Linked DNA regions of Arabidopsis thaliana. The protein of the gene in region 1 interacts with the protein of each later gene in a pairwise test. Each region holds a gene or a part of one and is shown in the gene's direction. Other genes may lie near its edges.

Region 1 (4,500 bases):
TTGTTTGTTTACCTACCTACGATAATTTTGGCTCTTTTTTTTTTTTTTTTTTTTGCTTCTTAGCTTTATACACCTTTTTATGTATTCATTATGATATTTGCAGCGTTATAAGGGTGATATCTCAGACTTGGAGCTTTACTTTGTTATTTTGAATAATGAATATGGAGAGAGGACAGAGGAAGAGCTACTTCCAGGGGGCCAAGACATGCGAGTTACAAATGAGAATGTTATAACTTTCATTCATCTGGTTTCCAATCATCGGTTAAATTTTCAGGTACTGGGGAACCACTTACCTCTCATTTATCTTGGCATACCTGAGGTCACCCTGTAAATCAACAGCTATTGATATCATCTCATTTGCAGATACGCCAGCAGAGTTCTCATTTCTTGAGGGGGTTTCAGCAACTCATTCCGAAAGAATGGATCGACATGTTCAATGAACATGAGCTTCAGGTGCCAATTAAGTGTATAATTATACTTGCTTTGTTAGTTGTTCCCTCGAGGAGCATGAAGAGAGAAATTTTACCTTTGTGGGCTTTGGTTGCAGGTTCTCATATCTGGTTCAGTTGATAGTTTGGATATAGACGACTTGCGAAACAACACTAATTATGCTGGAGGCTACCACGCGGTGAGTGGTTCTTCACTGTTAGCCGAAATGCCATTGTGAATTAGTGTAGGGACACTTTTGGAGTATTGTTATATATGATTATATCGCTATGTTGTTGACACTTGACAGGGACATTATGTGATCGATATGTTCTGGGAAGTTATGAAAAGCTTCTCAACTGAAAACCAGAAGAAGTTCTTAAAGTAAGCAAACTTTGCAGTTACTACTACAGTCTGTGTACGCAATGATTTACCGGAGTCTATGAATTTTCTAAGGGAACTAAGAGGTACCTCTATTTTTCAATTTCAGGTTTGTGACAGGCTGCTCACGAGGACCACTGCTGGGTTTCAAATACTTGGAACCTGCATTCTGCATACAGAGGTAATATACACAGACTCACAATCGTTTTGACTTTTGATGGGCCCTGGACAATAGAATCATAAAATATCCATCCTCGATGGAATGTGTATCAGGGCTGCCGGTAGTGCGAGTAATGAATCAGTTGATAGACTACCGACATCAGCCACTTGTATGAATCTTCTTAAGCTTCCGCCCTATCAAAGGTTTGTCCTCTCATAACACAAACTCTTTGGTTTTGCTTAGCTAAGAGACTTGTTTTGTTGCCAAATAGCTTCTCTTGGTGTTGTAATTGGAAAAAGCAAATAAAGCATGTCTTGTTGTTAATGATGCAGCAAAGAGCTACTTGAGACCAAATTGATGTACGCCATAAGCGCAGAAGCGGGTTTTGATCTGAGCTGATGGAATAGCTTCCTGCCTTAAACACAGACTTCAATGGCCCCAAATTGACACCCTTTTTTCTAGCATTCCTCGTTATGGTATAAACCGGGTAACCTGTAGACTGAGGCAGGCTTGTTGGCTCTAAGCATCTAAGAGACGGATCTAGAAGGAGAACATGTAGTAGAGATTACTTGACTAATGGGTTTCATTTGCAGCTCTCGGGTATTCGCTTTCAAAAAGTGTGACAAAAAAAAAAAAGTGATTACAGGGAAGTCTTTATTTGGAAGCTCCTGAGAGTTAGTCTTGGGTTAAAAATTCAATAAAAGAAATGGTAAATAAGACTGGTCTCAAGAGGAACTTAAATGCTGTAAATTATTTTGCTTAATTAATGCATGTTACACAGAACATAGATGATTATTTTGATACTTATTTGCATCATACCATATATCTTCTATAAAAAGATGCATTTTAGTGACTTAGTGGTAAGAATATCCTTTTTTTTTTTTTTTTGTCATATGATAATTATTAAAACAGAAACAAAATGACAGAAAAATAACGAGAAATACAAAATGAAATTTAAACTTTACTTTCCTTAGACACTTGATTGTGAAGTCATGAAGGCTCTCCAAGTGCTAAGTAAAACTTAGACTGAAACCTTCTGTCTTGAATCACACTCCCAAGAAATGGAACGCGCGATCAGATTTGCGTTTGTGGCAATATGACGGAATGTACAAGATTCAAATGCACTAACAATCTCATGGATTTGTGTTAACCAATTTCTATAGAAAGGCTATTTGGACGGCTGCAAAACGGCGTTAAGTGCGGCTGGACAGTCCAACTCTATTATCACCGTGGTAAGAATATCTCTATATACATTTTTTGTCGCACTTATCATGATTAATCAAGTAAACATAATTGTTACAAACACTTTATAAATTAAAAAAGCTTCAATTCAATTTGCACAGAAAAGAAAAAAAAAAGAAGAAGATTCAATACAGAGTATACCAGGAGCATCTGGTAATGTTTATATCTGAGGACGTTTTATTTAATTTTTTGGAACGAAAACAATAATCCGACGATCGTATTTGCACGTCGCAAATCCGCTCTTTTAATCAAAGATCTCGACCGTCCATTTTTAGTTAAGACTTTAGAGAGCTGATAAGTGGAATAGTGGAGATTTGCATTCGCAGGGGATAAGGATCAAAAATGGAGGAAGCAAAGGGACCTGTGAAGCACGTATTGCTTGCTAGTTTCAAAGATGGGGTTAGTCCTGAGAAAATCGAAGAGCTCATCAAAGGTTACGCCAATCTCGTCAATCTCATCGAACCTATGAAAGCTTTCCACTGGTTAGTAAATTTGGATTCTGAATTGCTTCCTAGTGTTAGACATATGCTCGAGATCCGAAAAACACTTCCATCAACTCAATATGATTATGTAAAACTAAGCAATTTGGGGAAATTCATGACCTTCCTAGTGTTGATCTAATTTCCCTCAGAGAGAATCCATCTCCATTGATGATCTTTTGAAAAGTTAAATCAACTAAATCGACGAATCTGCTCTTGTCTTATTGAATTATTGGATCTGTATAATTTTAGGGGAAAAGATGTGAGCATTGAGAATCTGCATCAAGGTTACACACACATCTTTGAATCCACATTTGAGAGTAAAGAAGCTGTTGCAGAGTACATTGCTCATCCTGCTCACGTTGAATTCGCCACCATCTTCCTTGGCAGCTTGGATAAAGTTTTGGTTATTGACTACAAGCCTACCTCTGTCTCTCTCTAATTATCTTGTAGCAGCATTTTCATCATTGATCTTTTTCTCGGGTATGCATCTTGTATGTTGAATAAAGTATATTCCTTTTGAGTTTTCCTGCATTGTTCTCATGTTTCTCTGTGAATTTCTCTCTTTTTTGTTTGTTTGTTTGTTTCCTTCTGTTGTATTATACTTGATCTGTAAAAAGATCATGAGTTTATTAAGAGTGTTTGATTTCAGACTCCTCTTTGTTATAAGTCTATTACTAGTTGTTGTCTCTTAGTTTCTTTTATCAATAGAGTTGAGTTATATGGAATAACAAGTTGAAAAGAAACCAGGTTCTTGTTGATGTGTGGGTTGGAGAAAAAAAGTTCTTTGATTATATATGTAACATTTATGCATTACTGTTTAATGTAATCGTCTAATGAGTATGATGAAGGGAGATTGAATCAATCCCACTCTCACATCATGTTTGAGATGACAAGTACAATGCCACAAATATTCTGAAAATCACCACTGTTCTTCACAGCTGAAGGATCAACTTTGAAATCCGCCATGTCTTGTTCACATGTTGAAGGTCCTTCCATAGCTGCTGAAACCTTAATGTTCAACCCTTTGCCATCGCCTGACGCCAGGCTCTGCTTAGCATCATTGAGACTGCTTATTGCACTCTTATAATGTTGTACACATGAGGTGTATGCTTTCTTCATAGTGGGGTTGGTTGCTGTCTTGACTAGAGATTGAATTTTCCTGAAACCTTCTGATGCACTTGTTTGTGCAGAACCAAATGTGATATTTGCAAGCGTTTGAAGATCAGCACCTGAGGTCTTTGGGTTGGATTTCATGTAGCTCGTACAGAAGGATTGGTTTTTCGCTTTTCCACATATCGCTTTTATGTCTGCCACTTGTGCGTTCAAAGAACCAGTCATTACAAAAAACATCAGAGAAGACATTAAAACTCTGTTCGTCAGGTATGCTGCCATCTTTGCTTCTTTCTTTCTTATGTTCGTTGGTAGATGATGGTTAAGTTATTCCCTTACTATGCCTGACTATTCATATTTATAGATGCATGCGATTGATTGCTTCCACTAGAACTAATAATAGAAATGGGTTGTTACTCTTTCTGATTCTTAGTTAGACCACAAGTCCTTATGTAAGAGAGAGAGAAAACTTTGCTATTCTTAGCATTAGTGCAGAGACAGTTATCTGATTAGTATTCGTCTAACTTACTTTCCTGACTTCTCTTCTTTAGGTAGATATGCATTCACTAATATGTGTTCATGATTTGTTGGTGCTAAGAAAGATTACTGTAGGAAGAGGTTCTATGGAGATAATTGTCATAAATATACACCAGAAGTAACGAGAGATTAAAGTCTTAGCTGAGATGCAAGACACGGTAA
Region 2 (5,300 bases), on another chromosome or scaffold:
AGGTAGAAGTAAGATGGCTACAATGGGGTTGAGAAAGGAGTCTAAAGACTCACTTTCCATCAGTGGAACTACTGGTAATGGTGATTTGGATGTAGTGGGTGATAAAGGACCTACTTTTAAAGATTTTGGTGGGATTAAGAAAGTGTTGGATGAACTGGAGAGGAATGTTTTGTTCCCGATTCTCAATCCTGAACCGTTTAAGAAGATTGGAGTTAAGCCACCGAGTGGGATTCTATTTCATGGACCACCTGGCTGTGGGAAGACCAAGTTGGCTAATGCTATAGCCAATGAAGTTGGTGTTCCGTTTTATAAGATTTCAGCTACAGATGTGGTTTCTGGTGTCTCTGGTGCTTCTGAAGAGAATCTTAGAGAGCTTTTCTCTAAAGCGTATAGGACTGCACCTTCCATTGTGTTTATCGATGAGATTGATGCGATTGGATCAAAGAGGGAAAATCAGCAAAGGGAGATGGAAAAGCGGATTGTAACGCAATTATTGACTTGTATGGATGGACCTGGTAACAATGGTCCTGAGTCTAGTGTTGGATTTGTTCTCGTTATTGGAGCTACAAATGGCCTGATGTTCTTGATCCTGCTTTGAGGAGAAGTGGACGATTTGAATGTGAGATTGCTCTAGGTGTTCCAGATGAAGATGCAAGAGCTGAGATACTTTCTGTTGTAGCCCAAAAACTTAGACTAGAAGGGCCCTTTGACAAGAAAAGAATAGCTCGTTTAACGCCGGGTTTTGTTGGAGCAGATTTGGAGGGTGTTGCTAACATGGCTGGCAGGATTGCCACAAAGAGAATCTTGGATTCAAGAAAATCTCAACTGGCTGGGGACTCTGAAGATGATAGTTCTTGGCTGAGGCATCCCTGGCCAGAAGAAGAGTTGGAAAAACTCTTTGTTAAGATGTCTGATTTCGAGGTATGTTAATTGTAGGCATGGCATGAGTCTACTTTTCTGTACTTCAATAGCTACGAGATTTTAATCCTTGGTTCCTAACTCTGTTGGTTGCTCTGTAATCTACTAGGAAGCAGTGAATCTAGTTCAGGCATCTTTAACAAGGGAAGGATTCTCTATCGTGCCTGATGTCAAGTGGGATGATGTTGGTGGACTTGAGCATCTACGACTTGAATTCAACCGCTATATAGTCAGACCTATCAAAAAGCCTGATATTTACAAGGTAACTAATAAGTCACTTAGAACTGTTATATAGTCAAGATTACTTGCTTTTTCTCTCGAGGTCTGAATGTGCCACTTTGGTTCTTTTTAGGCTTTTGGGGTAGACTTAGAGGTTGGATTTTTACTCTATGGACCACCGGGTTGTGGCAAGACATTGATTGCAAAGGCAGTTGCTAACGAGGCAGGAGCTAATTTCATGCACATCAAGGGTGCAGAGCTTCTAAACAAGTACGTTGGAGAGAGCGAGCTTGCTATTCGGACATTGTTTCAGCGTGCCCGGACATGTTCGCCATGTGTGATCTTCTTTGATGAGGTGGATGCTTTGACAACAAGCCGTGGCAAAGAAGGTGCCTGGGTTGTTGAACGGCTTTTAAACCAGTTCCTTGTTGAGCTAGACGGTGGAGAGAGGCGTAATGTATACGTAATTGGAGCTACAAACAGGCCAGATGTAATTGATCCTGCGTTCTTGAGACCTGGTAGGTTTGGGAATCTTCTATATGTACCCCTCCCTAACGCCGATGAACGTGCTTCAATTCTAAAAGCTATTGCAAGGAAGAAGCCCATAGATCCTAGTGTTGATCTTGATAGCATTGCAAAGATGAATTGTGAAGGTTTCAGCGGAGCTGATCTCGCTCACTTGGTGCAAAAAGCTACATTCCAGGCAGTGGAGGAGATCACCACAATTTCATGTGAAGATGATGACGATATTACAGATACAAGTCAGTGTACGATTAAGATGACTCATTTCGAGCAAGCATTGTCCTTAGTCTCACCTTCTGTGAACAAACAGCAAAGAAGACACTATGAGGAACTATCAAAAAAGCTCCAAGAAAGCATTGGAAGGAAACCATAGGGTCATTCTTTTTGCCTTGCACTAAAACCTCTCTTACTTATATTATGTCTGCAAATTCCCATTCTTCTGAGTACTTGTAACAATTATATTATTGAGATAAGATAAATACGAAAGAAGGTTTTGTTACTCTTTTTTGGGGGACATTTTGTAAAGCAGATAATGGTAGAAACTAGAAAGAAAAAGAATAATGCAAAAACTACGTCGTTTAGTTTAAATTATAAGACACGTGGTCTTCTCTTTCGTCGTCTCCATTATTTACAGGAGTGCGATAATATTCTTTGAAGCTTTAACATTGTTGCGAAGACCAGACTCTCAGACTCAGACTCGGGAGGTATTGGATTCTATCTGATCTGCTCGATTTTTTCTCTATTTTCTTGCTCTCTACATTATAGCTGATCGATTTCTCATCTTGTTGTTGTTGTCCCTGCTTGATTGGTAGATCTCGAGGGGGTTTAAGCTCTGCATTTGATTTAAGTTCTGAGTTTTCGATAATCTGATCGAATCTGGAAATCATAGTATTAGATTCTACAGAAATCAAGTTCGATCCTTAACCAAGAGATTCTGTAGTCTTTCAAGGTCGAATTATAGAAGGATTTTTATTGATATGTGAGAATTTCTTTCACTGGAATAAACACTTGCTTTAGGATTCTTAACGGAAGCATCATATGAAGATCTTCACATTTGTAGTTTTTTTTTATAGTCTCTGATTCATAGTTTCCATTTGCAGCTCCTTTAAGCGATTTCTTTCTTTGTTTTTTGAGGCTTGCATTGTTATTATCACGCAGTGATTTCACTTCAACTTTCTGCTCAGATGGCAGTCCACTACTGGACAGCCCTGTTTCTATTGTTGCCATGCCTTTTCTGTATTTCAAATGCTAGTGCTGGCGATGCTGATCCAGATTACAGGTAATCTTAGAATTTCGGTAATCTTTGAGTATCTATCGTGAACTTGGTTTTGTTGTAGCTTATATGTAAGCAACATTTTTGATTCGTGGAGATTATGAATGTCTGGCAATTTTGTGTCAGGACATGTGTTTCAGAATGTGAGATAAGCGGTTGTGTTGGACAACTTTGCTTTCCTCAGTGCAATTCTTCATCCGATGGTGGTCCATGGTACATCCAAGAACCTTTGTATTTACAATGGAAAAAATGGGGTTGTCAAGGTGATTGCCGTTATCAATGTATGGTTAATAGAGAGACTGAACGGGAAACTCTCGGTCAAGCCCCAGTCAAGTACCATGGTAAATGGCCCTTCAAGCGTGTACTTGGGATTCAGGTTAGTTTTTTTCTTCAATCGCTTTTTTTTATTCTGGTTGTTTCCATATAATATGAGTTTTGACTTACCTTGTTCTTTGCCAGGAGCCTGCTTCTGTTGCTTTCTCTGTACTCAACCTAGCAATGCATTTCCATGGTTGGCTTTCCTTTTTCATCATGATCTACTATAAGTTGCCTCTGAAACAAGATAGGACAGCGTACTATGAATACGTTGGTTTGTGGCATATCTACGGTCTCCTGTCCATGAACTCTTGGTTCTGGAGTGCTGTTTTCCACAGCCGGTAAATCATCTACACATTACTCTATTATCCACAATCTGCATCATATATTCATATGTGATTTTCTGGTAATCCGTCTCTGTGGTTCTCAGGGATGTTGACCTTACAGAGAGGTTGGACTACTCATCCGCAGTAGCGATTCTCGGATTCTCACTCATCTTAGCCATTTTACGAACATTTGATATTCGGGTTGAGGCTGCAAGGGTCATGGTATCCGCTCCAATACTAGCTTTTGTAACCACCCACATACTCTACATAAACTTCTACAAACTCGACTATGGTACCCTCAATAACTTTCCGTTGTCTAAAAATCGAGTCAATATTTTTGGTGAATTCATCAGTTGAATGTCGTTTACAGGCTGGAACATGATTGTGTGTGTGGCAATGGGAGTCTCACAGCTTTTCCTATGGGCAAGATGGGCCGCTGTCTCAAGCCACCCTTCTAATTGGAAACTTTGGGTGGTTGTGATAGCTGGAGGATTAGCCATGCTTCTAGAGATATATGATTTTCCTCCATATGAAGGCTACTTCGATGCTCACTCGATCTGGCACGCTGCCACAATTCCCTTAACCATTCTCTGGTGGAGCTTCATTAGAGACGATGCTGAGTTCAGAACTTCCAGCCTCCTCAAGAAAACTAAGACGAAGGCAAAGTGAGTCTCTTTGCTAAGTTTTACAAGGATTTTTATCCGACCATACGAGTATGCAGACACGAGGGAAAAACAAAAGATGGAAATGGATTTAAACATCACGAAGAAGGCAGAGTCTTTTGTTTAAAGCTAGCTGGTTTATGGATTCACAGGTTTCTTCAGTTTTTTTTATTTTATATTGTTACATTAACTGTTGAATTTGCTTTGAGCCTTTCAGTGTTTTTCTTTGGCCTTACTTTTGGTTAAGAAAGATTTTGATATCATTTACTCATTCATACACAGACTCATGCGAAACCATTTTGAATTCAGATTCTGTCAATATTTTCGAGACAATCTTGTAATCTATAGGATTTTGTATAAAAATTTGGATCTACAAAAGCAGTTGTGTGAGAAACTCTCAAGCCCATCGATTTTGAGTCTTCTCTTTCATGAATCTGCAATTTGAGACACGACCTGCATAGACCAGACATAAAGACATCTTATGAGAAATAGCCCAATAAAAAAGTATGTGTGCGGGATACAGAGAGGGCCGACGGATTTTGCCTGAGTGATTAAAGGTTTTGCACAATCTTCCCACTCTGTAGCCCATCGACCCGAAGAACCAGTCTCCATTGCACCCGCTTTAAGCGACATTAGTGCATCACAGTTCCCTGGAAAACCCTTGAAGAGAATCTGTTCACAAAGACAAAACACAAGAACATTACTGCTGTCTTCTGCTGTAGACTTGGTGAAATAGTCTTTTAAAAAGAAAGACGAGTTACTTACCAATAATTGATCTGCTAATTCTGATGAAGATGAAAACAAAAGTCCGTTCTTCCCATCTTTAACGAGTTCTTGAATGCTTCACGAAAGTTGAAGGTTTTAAAGTTATAGTATTTGTTCGTGAAAGTAATGTAAGTGATTGATTATTTACCATGAGTAGGAAACCGAGCAAACTGGGAGGCCACATCCAAACATATCAACAACCTAAAACGCCAAACATCGGTAGCAAGTTGACACAATGGAAATCAAGTCTTAAATCTTCTTAACCTTATTAAAAACAATGTGCTTCTTAACATATGAGCT
Region 3 (4,731 bases), on another chromosome or scaffold:
TAACTTTTCTTGCTGATTGGCAGAAGAAATGGTCTGCACCATCTATAATCGATAATGTAATCACTTACATTCCCAAGCTACAGAATGAAGTTGGAGAGCTAACTCTAAGAAAGCAGAAGCTTGTGGAGTTAGAGAGACGAGGTCCTTCTATTCGAGCAATCTCGGTTCTTGAATTGGGGGAATCAGGTTATGAGGCTGTTGTACAGATATGCTTGAAGAAAGAAAACGAAGATGAGTTCTCCAACTTGCTTCATGTAATGGAGGTGCAAGGTTTGAGTGTTTTAAGTGCTTCTACTTCTCAAGTTTGCCGAGAGCAAAGGGTGGTTTGCTACAACTTCCATGTCAAGGTACTGTGTCTCATCTTATCTTCTTCATTTCTCTTTAGTTTATGTTTTGATAGAATGGAGACAATGTGCTAGTCTTCATGGATATGAACAATGATGTAACTTTTCTTCTCCAAACAATACATGTTTAGGGTCCAAGTCATGGGAGGATTGTGTTTTAACTTTAGCTAAGCATTGAGATTATGTTAAGATTATATAACGTTTAGAAAAGATATAGGACTAATGGTTTATCATTAAGTTCATAAACCAATGGTTTTTGTTCTTAAGATATATTGATTCTATTGGTGGGAGAGAGACTGTTTCGACCTCAATGAACCTGGATTTGAGTGTAGCATTATGTATAAAGAGGGATGATTTACATATATTTGCATGTATTATCAATGGCTGATCCTAGATCTATGGACCAAAAACACTAAACTAAATTCAAAATTAGTTTTTAGCAATTCGATAGTATGGCACTAAAAAGTCATTGGATAGTATTTACATATATACATTGGATGTTCTTTTTTGAGAGAACTAACAATTGCAAAATGTATATGGGAAAGTGTAGATGGATGAGAAGCCATGTGAAGGTGATGACTACATCACAGTGTTAAAGAACAACATCATTTCTTCGCTTCGTGACAACACAAAGTGCAAATGATATATAGTGAGGTATAGAATCAACAGAATATCTTTGATGATGCATATCGCAACTTATAATATTCCTCTTCTTGCTTAGATCATGTTTGGTTTCGTGTTGGGAATCTCATAAATCATATATAGATGTAGAAGTTATGTTTATCTCCCTATGGTAAACCTCTTCTTAGTATGCCTCAAGATCACGATTTACATGCTCTAGTACCCGATCCGAGAGGATTATCTACCAAAGGCCCATAACTTGTAATCCAAATAGAAATTTCTTTGCGAAGCTAAAACTCAAGTTTTCCAAAACAAGTTGTTAGAATGCCGACTAAAGTTTCTTTATATAGGTTTAACAAGAAATGTATAACCTAAAGATTTGATCCCATGGCATAAAAAAAATAATAATTAAAAACATGGAAGCAAAATATATACAACAGATAGACTATGATCTTGCAGTCTAAAGGTGAGACCACTCTTTGATGGACCACAACCTCAACTTTCCGAATCAGCCGGCTTTTGTTTCAGGAGCCAAGAGAAAGACACAACAACCAAATCAAAAATGACAACACGGCTCCAAAAGAATATGGAGTTTGGCAAGGCTTACCTTTGCTATAAATAAGTTGAGCATTGGACTTGAAATAACTTTGTCTAATGAATTCTTACTTGTATTTTATAAGACGAAAACGTAAATCTTGCATTAAGAATTCATACAAATTTTCATAATTGATAAAATTCTTACATTATCGTACTAGAAATCGGAAATGCATTCCACCATTATGCGTGTTAGTACTAATCGGAGTTTTAACTTGTACTAAATTTAACAAATATGACGGAGAGAGTTGAAAGCTTATCACAATGGCATTTACCGTTTTGCCCTTGTCGTTGTAATTTCAACATTTCCAATTTCTTAACGCCTTTACTGACATCGACCCCAAAAAGAAAAAAAAAAAAGAAGAAGAGTCAAACCTGAGAATCTCATCTCTCTCTGAAGTAGAAGAAGAAGAAGACGATGAAGAAGCGAACGATGTCCGCGTGGGGATCGGCGATTTTAATCTTCATAATACTTATGATCGTCACTCCCACAATCCCTCAATCTCAGGCTTACCACAATTTCGCCGATCAACGCTCCTTCCTCGGTATAAAATTCACACTCTTCTCTCATCATCATCATTTTCTTCTTAAATACCCTTTTGAATTTTTAGGGTTTTGATCTTACAAATCCATTTTCTCAGGGATTCCAAATTTTTTAAACGTCATCTCCAACTTCCCTTTCCTCATCATCGGCCTTATTGGTCTTATCCTCTGCTTTTACCCAGAAGATTACTTTAGCTTTAGGTGCGTAATTACATACTTCTTCTTTGTGAAATCCAGATTCAAATTAGTTAAAGTCTCTGTGTATTGAAACAGTTTGCGAGGTGAGAAAATAGGATGGACTTGCTTTTACATCGGTGTAGCTGCTGTTGCTTTTGGATCTTCTTACTATCATCTTCACCCAAACGATGCTACTCTCCTCTGGGATCGTCTTCCCGTACGCTCTTATTCTTTCTCTTCTCTTCTCTGAGATTTTGTTTGCTTTGTTTTGTTTTTGATCACTGGTTTCGATTGCTTTTTGGTTTAGATGACTATTGCTTTCACATCAATCATGGCTATATTTGTAATCGAGAGGATTGATGAGCATAAGGGTACTTACTCCATTGCTCCTTTACTTCTTGCTGGTCTTGTTAGCATTTTGTATTGGAGGTTAGTCAAATCCTTAAACTATCTCTAGTGGTTTTAGCGATACAATGTTGAGATAGAGTAAGCTGACATGAGGCTGTGATTGTAGGTTTTTCGATGACCTTAGGCCATATGCTTTGGTTCAGTTTGTTCCTTGCATTGTGATTCCGTTGATGGCTATTTTATTGCCTCCAATGTATACACATTCCACTTATTGGCTATGGGCTGCAGGTTAGTGCTTATTGTTGTGTTGATACATATTTAGTTTGCTTTGCTCTTGAAGCTTTGTTGTTACTTTCTGGCTCTTATTCTAGATTCAATTGTCTGGAATTGCAGGGTTCTATCTCTTAGCCAAGGTGGAAGAAGCTGCGGATAAGCCTATATATAGCTGGACTCATCATATTATTAGTGGGCATTCTCTGAAGCATCTGTGTGCCGCTATGGTCCCTGTCTTCCTTACCCTCATGCTTGCGAAAAGAACCGTTCAAACTGAGAGGTACATTTTCATCCTCATGTATATGAAACGACCCGACGTGGCAGACCCATATTCTTGTTCTCATTGTTTTACATCATTTTGTTAAAACACAGGATTAGCTTGTATAAGACATGGAAGAAAGGATCCGAGGAAGAACGGTTCGAGCATAGCTACTCCAACGTTGCAGTCGAAGAGACTCGGTAGATTATTTTGTTGACTCGTAAAATGTAAGATGATCTTTTTCTTTTGATAGTTTGTGTGTTTACGGTTACTGGCTAATAGAATTAGATATAGAAGGTACAGATTTATGATCCAGTTGGAAACTAATGTTAGCGATCTGTAATCTTATCAAAATGCTGCACTCTACCATTCATAAATGCCCTTTGTTTCTTATTGAGATTGGTGAGACTCGATGTTCTTCTTATTATCAACTTAAACCAAATCGAAGACAAGTTTGCCTAGTTGATCGTGAAATCATTGGAACACTCTGTTTTACAACACAAGTGTTTTCAGGATATGCCGTTAAGTCTTCTAATAACAGAGACGACGCCTTGAATACCTAACTTGCCATCTCCATTAGCCACCATTCCAGTGAACAACTGCTTGCTCAGAGCAGCACCAGGCATCGCCGCCTCTGCAGCCATTCCCAAATCTTTCACCATATACTCCGCAAAGCCAGTCGCCCTATAATCCCTCTTCACAATCATCTCCCCAAACAGCCGCATAACCGCCGATCCAGCTGCACCATCCTTCACCGCCTCGAGCCATTTCACTGTATCTAAACCCGCTTTCTCAGCGAACACTATCCCTTCAGCAAGTCCAACCAGGTTGCTCGCACCAGCAATCTGATTCCCTATCTTGCAGCTTTGCCCACTCCCTGCTTCTCCCATATAAGTAACAGTCCCTATATTCTTCATCACCGGGGACAACCACTCCACAATCTCTGAATCTCCGCCGGCGAAAATCCCTAACGTCCCCTCTCGTGCTCCAGCGTCTCCACCTGATACCGGCGCATCCACCGCCCAACAATTCCTACGCCTCGCTTCTGCGTGTATTTCACGCGCCAATCCTGGTTTGCTACTAGTCATGTCCACTGTTACTCCACCGGGCGTAAGACCAGAGAGTACACCATCGTCACCGAGAAGCAATGATCGGACATCGTTGAAGTTTCCAACAATCGTGAACACAACGTCGCTCATCTCCGCTAACTCTTTGGGGCTATTGGCTATGCGAGCTCCTTTGGTTTGCAGATCTTTTGTTTTCCGGAGGTCGCGAGCGTAAACTGTGACAGAATAGCCTGCGGCGATAATATGAGAAACCATGGCCGATCCCATTATCCCGATGCCAATCCATCCTATTCGAGTCTTTGAAGGATCGATGAGTTTCGGATATGGAGTCTCCATTTCTGTGTTTCCACAGAACGAATGAAGAATTTGCGTGAGAGACGACGACGATTGGTAGAACATAAAAAATAAGTCTTAGCTACTTCACTCAATTTTTATTTATTGAGCTCAAATCTCTTTTTCTTCTGGATTTTAGTTATTTCACATCAGTCATGGCTATACTTTTAAT
Region 4 (3,814 bases), on another chromosome or scaffold:
TTTTGGAACATTGATCTCTACGCTTGATCACACTCTCTCTATCTACATGAATAAATGAAGCTTAAGAAGATAAACAACGAGAAGAAGCCATAGCTTTACCTGAAACATTCTCAAATGTTTGTGAGCCTATCTTTCATACATAAACTCATGTTGTTAAACAGATTATGATTTCTTAAGTACTACAATATCACACATTGATGGAAAGTGATATAGATTTCTCTCTTCTCTATTTATATGCTTAAATCCACAATGAATCATTATTGTAACTGAAAGAGGATATTTAAAAAGACGAGTATACCCTTGATTTCTCTTGTTTAGTAGTAGAGAAGAGGGTAATTTGGTAAATGACGAAGTAAGTACATTGAGCTTCTTCGCGGACAGAGACACTATCTCTCTCTCTCTCTACCCTTTGGATCTTTCTTCTCGATCAATTATCCATTTTGCCCAGATTTTTTCCAGAAGCTCATCGAATTCGTAAGCTTTCGCGCCTTTTCCTCTCTTTAATTTATTTGTTAATCAATTTTGAATGTGTTGTATCTCTAGGGTTTATAATTTCAGTTTCACCCTTGTTTTCTATTGTTTCGCGGAATAATCTCTTGTCATGGAAGGTTTAGATTGATTCGACCTTTTTGATCTTGACCTAATTTATTCCAATTTTCGTAAAATTGTTCCTTAAGACCTGTTTCTCTGACTAGCTCAGATTGATTTTGGTATCTGAATCAATTGCGGAACCCTAACTGGCAGATCAATTCGAGAAGTTTTGATTTTGTTTGAAGATAGTGAATTGCGAGTTCAGTGTGCTAATATCTGCTTGTAATTCTTACTCTTCAATTGTTTTCATAGATCGAATCACAATGTTTGAAATTTGGTTTCACTGTTGCTGAGTGTGTTTGGAGGAGAAGCTTGATTGGTTCGGTGTTTCACTGTTTGAAGATTATAAGAGTTATGGAGAATGGTGGTCAGTATGATAATGCGCGGTTCAAGCCCGATTACTTCAAAGGTGCACAATCTATGGTAAGACTTAAGATTTTTGGTTTCCTAAAGATATGTTTTTGTTAGTGTGATTGAAGTTATATAAGCAAAGAATGTTTGTTACAGTGGAATATGATTCCCCAGCATCAGATTAAGGAACAACATAATGCGTTGGTGATGAATAAGAAGATCATGTCCATCCTTGCTGAGAGAGACGCTGCTGTACATGAAAGAAATCAAGCTGTCTCTGCTAAAAAGGAAGCTGTCGCTGCTCGGGACGAAGCGCTTCAGCAACGTGACAAAGCTCTTTCTGAGAGAGATAAAGCTTTGATAGAGAGAGATAATGCTTATGCTGCTCTTCAACACCATGAAAATAGTCTCAACTTTGCTTTGTCTGGTGGGAAGTGTGTTGATGGAGATGATTGTTTTGGTATTGGGGAACCCCACAAACTTGAAGTCTTCCCTTTGTCAACTATTCCGCCTGAGGTTACAAACACGAAGGTGGTGAACAAAAGGAAGAAAGAGAACAAGCAGGGACTATCAAAGGTGAAAAAAGTGGGTGAAGATCTGAACCGTCGAGTTCCTGCTCCTGGAAAGAAATCTAGAACAGATTGGGACAGTCAAGATGTCGGTTTGAACTTAGTCACCTTCGATGAGACGACAATGCCTGTACCCATGTGTTCGTGCACAGGCTCTACGCGTCAGTGTTACAAATGGGGAAATGGCGGCTGGCAATCGTCTTGCTGCACAACCACCTTATCCCAGTATCCATTACCGCAGATGCCAAACAAGAGGCATTCTCGGATGGGCGGTAGGAAAATGAGCGGAAACGTTTTCTCGAGATTACTCAGCCGTTTATCAGCAGAAGGATATGATCTCTCGTGTCCTGTTGATCTTAAAGACTATTGGGCTAGGCACGGGACAAACCGCTACATCACTATCAAGTAGCCTCTGTTGTTTACACAGTCCAAGTATGTTTCTCTCGTCTTCTTAAGATTAGGTGTTGTCTTTGTCTTTATTGTCCATAGTTTGTTCTTTGTTGTGTATGGTAAAACCATTGTTATGTGTATCTTTTGGATGGGCAAAAATGGTTTGCATAAAAAATCTGTGTTTTGACCTCAAAAAATAAAATAAAATCGTAACAGTTAAAAATCAAAATCTGTTACCCCTTTGATAGCAAAATCTGTTACCCCTTTTTTCTTTCACTTGTTAGTTTCTTTTTATACCGAGAGGAGAGAACAAAAAATAAAACACAAAGTAAGCATAAACAACAACAAAATGATGGAGAAAGCCACAGTGGCGCATGTGGAGACGCATCAACGGTCACAAGAGATATGGTTTCTTGGCGCCGCAAGAGCCTTCTTGCAAATTCCGAATCCGGGGATTGTCAAAGTTTTTGTCCTAAGCAGCTTGACTACATTCACCTCAGGAATGGCTTTAGTCATTGAGTGGATCTGTCACGGAAAGAGTCACACGGGATTCGGGTGGATCATCTACTATGCATTGTTCTTGATGTGTCTTCCTCTTGTCATCTTGATCGGTCTTCATATTCTCGTCAGGCGCGGCTCAGATCAGATTGTGGATTCAACTCCAAGCAAAGAACCGTGTGTGGTGCAGAATCAGAGTACCGAGACGACTAAACGAACTGAAGAAACGGTGAAAAACAGCTGCCAAAGTTTAGCCGTTGTGGTTGCTCCGGATGACAAGAAGATGCCGAGGATAAAACGCGCAGTGTCATTCCCGTCTCACGGCGAAGTAAGATCATGTCGAACTCGTTAGCAAATTAAAACTTAGTGTGGTTCATTCAAAAAAATAACTTTGATGTGGTTAGCTATCAGATCGATTCAAGAATCTAATAATCTCTTTTGTGATATGTTTGTTATTCAGCATTTTATCTTTTCCAATAATCCAACGACCAATGATCTTCAAAAATTCGAATTACATCTTTCTTTCTTTTTTCCCCTCTTATGAGCTGAGTTCAATATATATATATATATATATATATATATATATATATATATATATATATATTGATGTACTATATATTGTTAGTTAAAAGCAAAAGATGAAAAAGTCTTACAATGGGTTTTGGTTTTTCTTTGAAATTTTGTAACAACCCAAGTAAAATACTAGATCCTCTGTTTTTTAGGGAAAGTATTTTTTGCAAAATTTTGAATTGCTATAAAGTAGAGTTTTGGAAAAACTAAAATAAAAAATCTTTACATTCAAGGTAAAAATCTCTACTTCTTTGAAATAATGCCACGTGTCAGTTCAGCGAGGAATAATATGTGTGAGTCTCATGGGTTGTTTGAGTCAATTTCGTTACCGGTTCTACAATAAGAAGTTACTTTGGCCCAAATAGAAAGAAATTTTACTTATCAAGTGGCCGAAAGGTGGCCCCAAAAAAACAAGGAAGTAAATCTACTAATGTACATTTGTCGCTACATAATTGGTCTAAGATAAATTACTTATATAGAATACTGTTATGGTGATTTACCCAATTTTTAGCCAAATGTGGTAAATTTAATTTCTAAACAAACTTACAATCATTTATAGTATCTATTAATTTATTGCTAACAACAATTATTTTTTCCAAATAAAAATACATTTTTTTTTACAAAATTTAATTTAGATTCACTGAAATATCTACAATTAAGTAATGTAATTTAATGTGGGTCCATGTAGTGCATAGAAAAGATTTACTAATTAAGTGATTGCTAAAATCAATAAATTAATAAACAAAAATAAAAATATTAGTTGATCAAAAAAAGGAGATATATGATATTTATTAATATAGCCAAAAAATAAATCTCACAATTACAATTAATCAAAGGACTACAAA

What was found.
Region 2: the proteins of HS1 (region 1) and AT1G16560 interact in a protein complementation assay, tested with the Arabidopsis thaliana proteins (one large-scale study listed by BioGRID).
Region 3: the proteins of HS1 (region 1) and SAG18 interact in a protein complementation assay, tested with the Arabidopsis thaliana proteins (one large-scale study listed by BioGRID).
Region 4: the proteins of HS1 (region 1) and AT2G21237 interact in a protein complementation assay, tested with the Arabidopsis thaliana proteins (one large-scale study listed by BioGRID).

What each region holds. Positions count from the first base shown.
Region 1 is NC_003074.8:5,879,767-5,884,266, forward strand, and holds HS1 (heat stable protein 1), read left to right. Parts: upstream 1-2,152; 5' UTR 2,153-2,199; intron 2,200-2,298; exon of another isoform or gene 2,299-2,310; 5' UTR 2,311-2,551; coding exon 2,552-2,691; intron 2,692-2,940; coding exon 2,941-3,130; 3' UTR 3,131-3,434; downstream 3,435-4,500. Other genes in the region: UPL6 (ubiquitin protein ligase 6), read left to right, coding at 104-274, 364-453, 548-628, 737-810, 917-988, 1,081-1,170, 1,300-1,366; PMEI2 (pectin methylesterase inhibitor 2), read right to left, coding at 3,562-4,083.
Region 2 is NC_003070.9:5,666,102-5,671,401, forward strand, and holds AT1G16560 (Per1-like family protein), read left to right. Parts: upstream 1-2,282; 5' UTR 2,283-2,363; exon of another isoform or gene 2,364-2,817; 5' UTR 2,818-2,843; coding exon 2,844-2,938; intron 2,939-3,058; coding exon 3,059-3,308; coding exon of another isoform or gene 3,309-3,312; intron 3,313-3,391; coding exon 3,392-3,588; intron 3,589-3,677; coding exon 3,678-3,865; intron 3,866-3,943; coding exon 3,944-4,242; 3' UTR 4,243-4,607; downstream 4,608-5,300. Other genes in the region: AT1G16570 (UDP-Glycosyltransferase superfamily protein), read right to left, coding at 4,662-4,688, 4,779-5,076, 5,149-5,201.
Region 3 is NC_003070.9:26,832,229-26,836,959, reverse strand, and holds SAG18 (senescence associated gene 18), read left to right. Parts: upstream 1-1,899; 5' UTR 1,900-1,977; coding exon 1,978-2,104; intron 2,105-2,200; coding exon 2,201-2,303; intron 2,304-2,375; coding exon 2,376-2,496; intron 2,497-2,586; coding exon 2,587-2,708; intron 2,709-2,793; coding exon 2,794-2,915; intron 2,916-3,020; coding exon 3,021-3,180; intron 3,181-3,250; exon of another isoform or gene 3,251-3,272; coding exon 3,273-3,363; 3' UTR 3,364-3,554; downstream 3,555-4,731. Other genes in the region: AT1G71200 (basic helix-loop-helix (bHLH) DNA-binding superfamily protein), read left to right, coding at 1-347, 895-987; AT1G71180 (6-phosphogluconate dehydrogenase family protein), read right to left, coding at 3,669-4,625.
Region 4 is NC_003071.7:9,099,621-9,103,434, reverse strand, and holds AT2G21237 (uncharacterized protein), read left to right. Parts: upstream 1-2,219; 5' UTR 2,220-2,250; coding exon 2,251-2,751; 3' UTR 2,752-2,899; downstream 2,900-3,814. Other genes in the region: AT2G21250 (NAD(P)-linked oxidoreductase superfamily protein), read left to right, coding at 1-27; BPC4 (basic pentacysteine 4), read left to right, coding at 946-1,014, 1,099-1,920.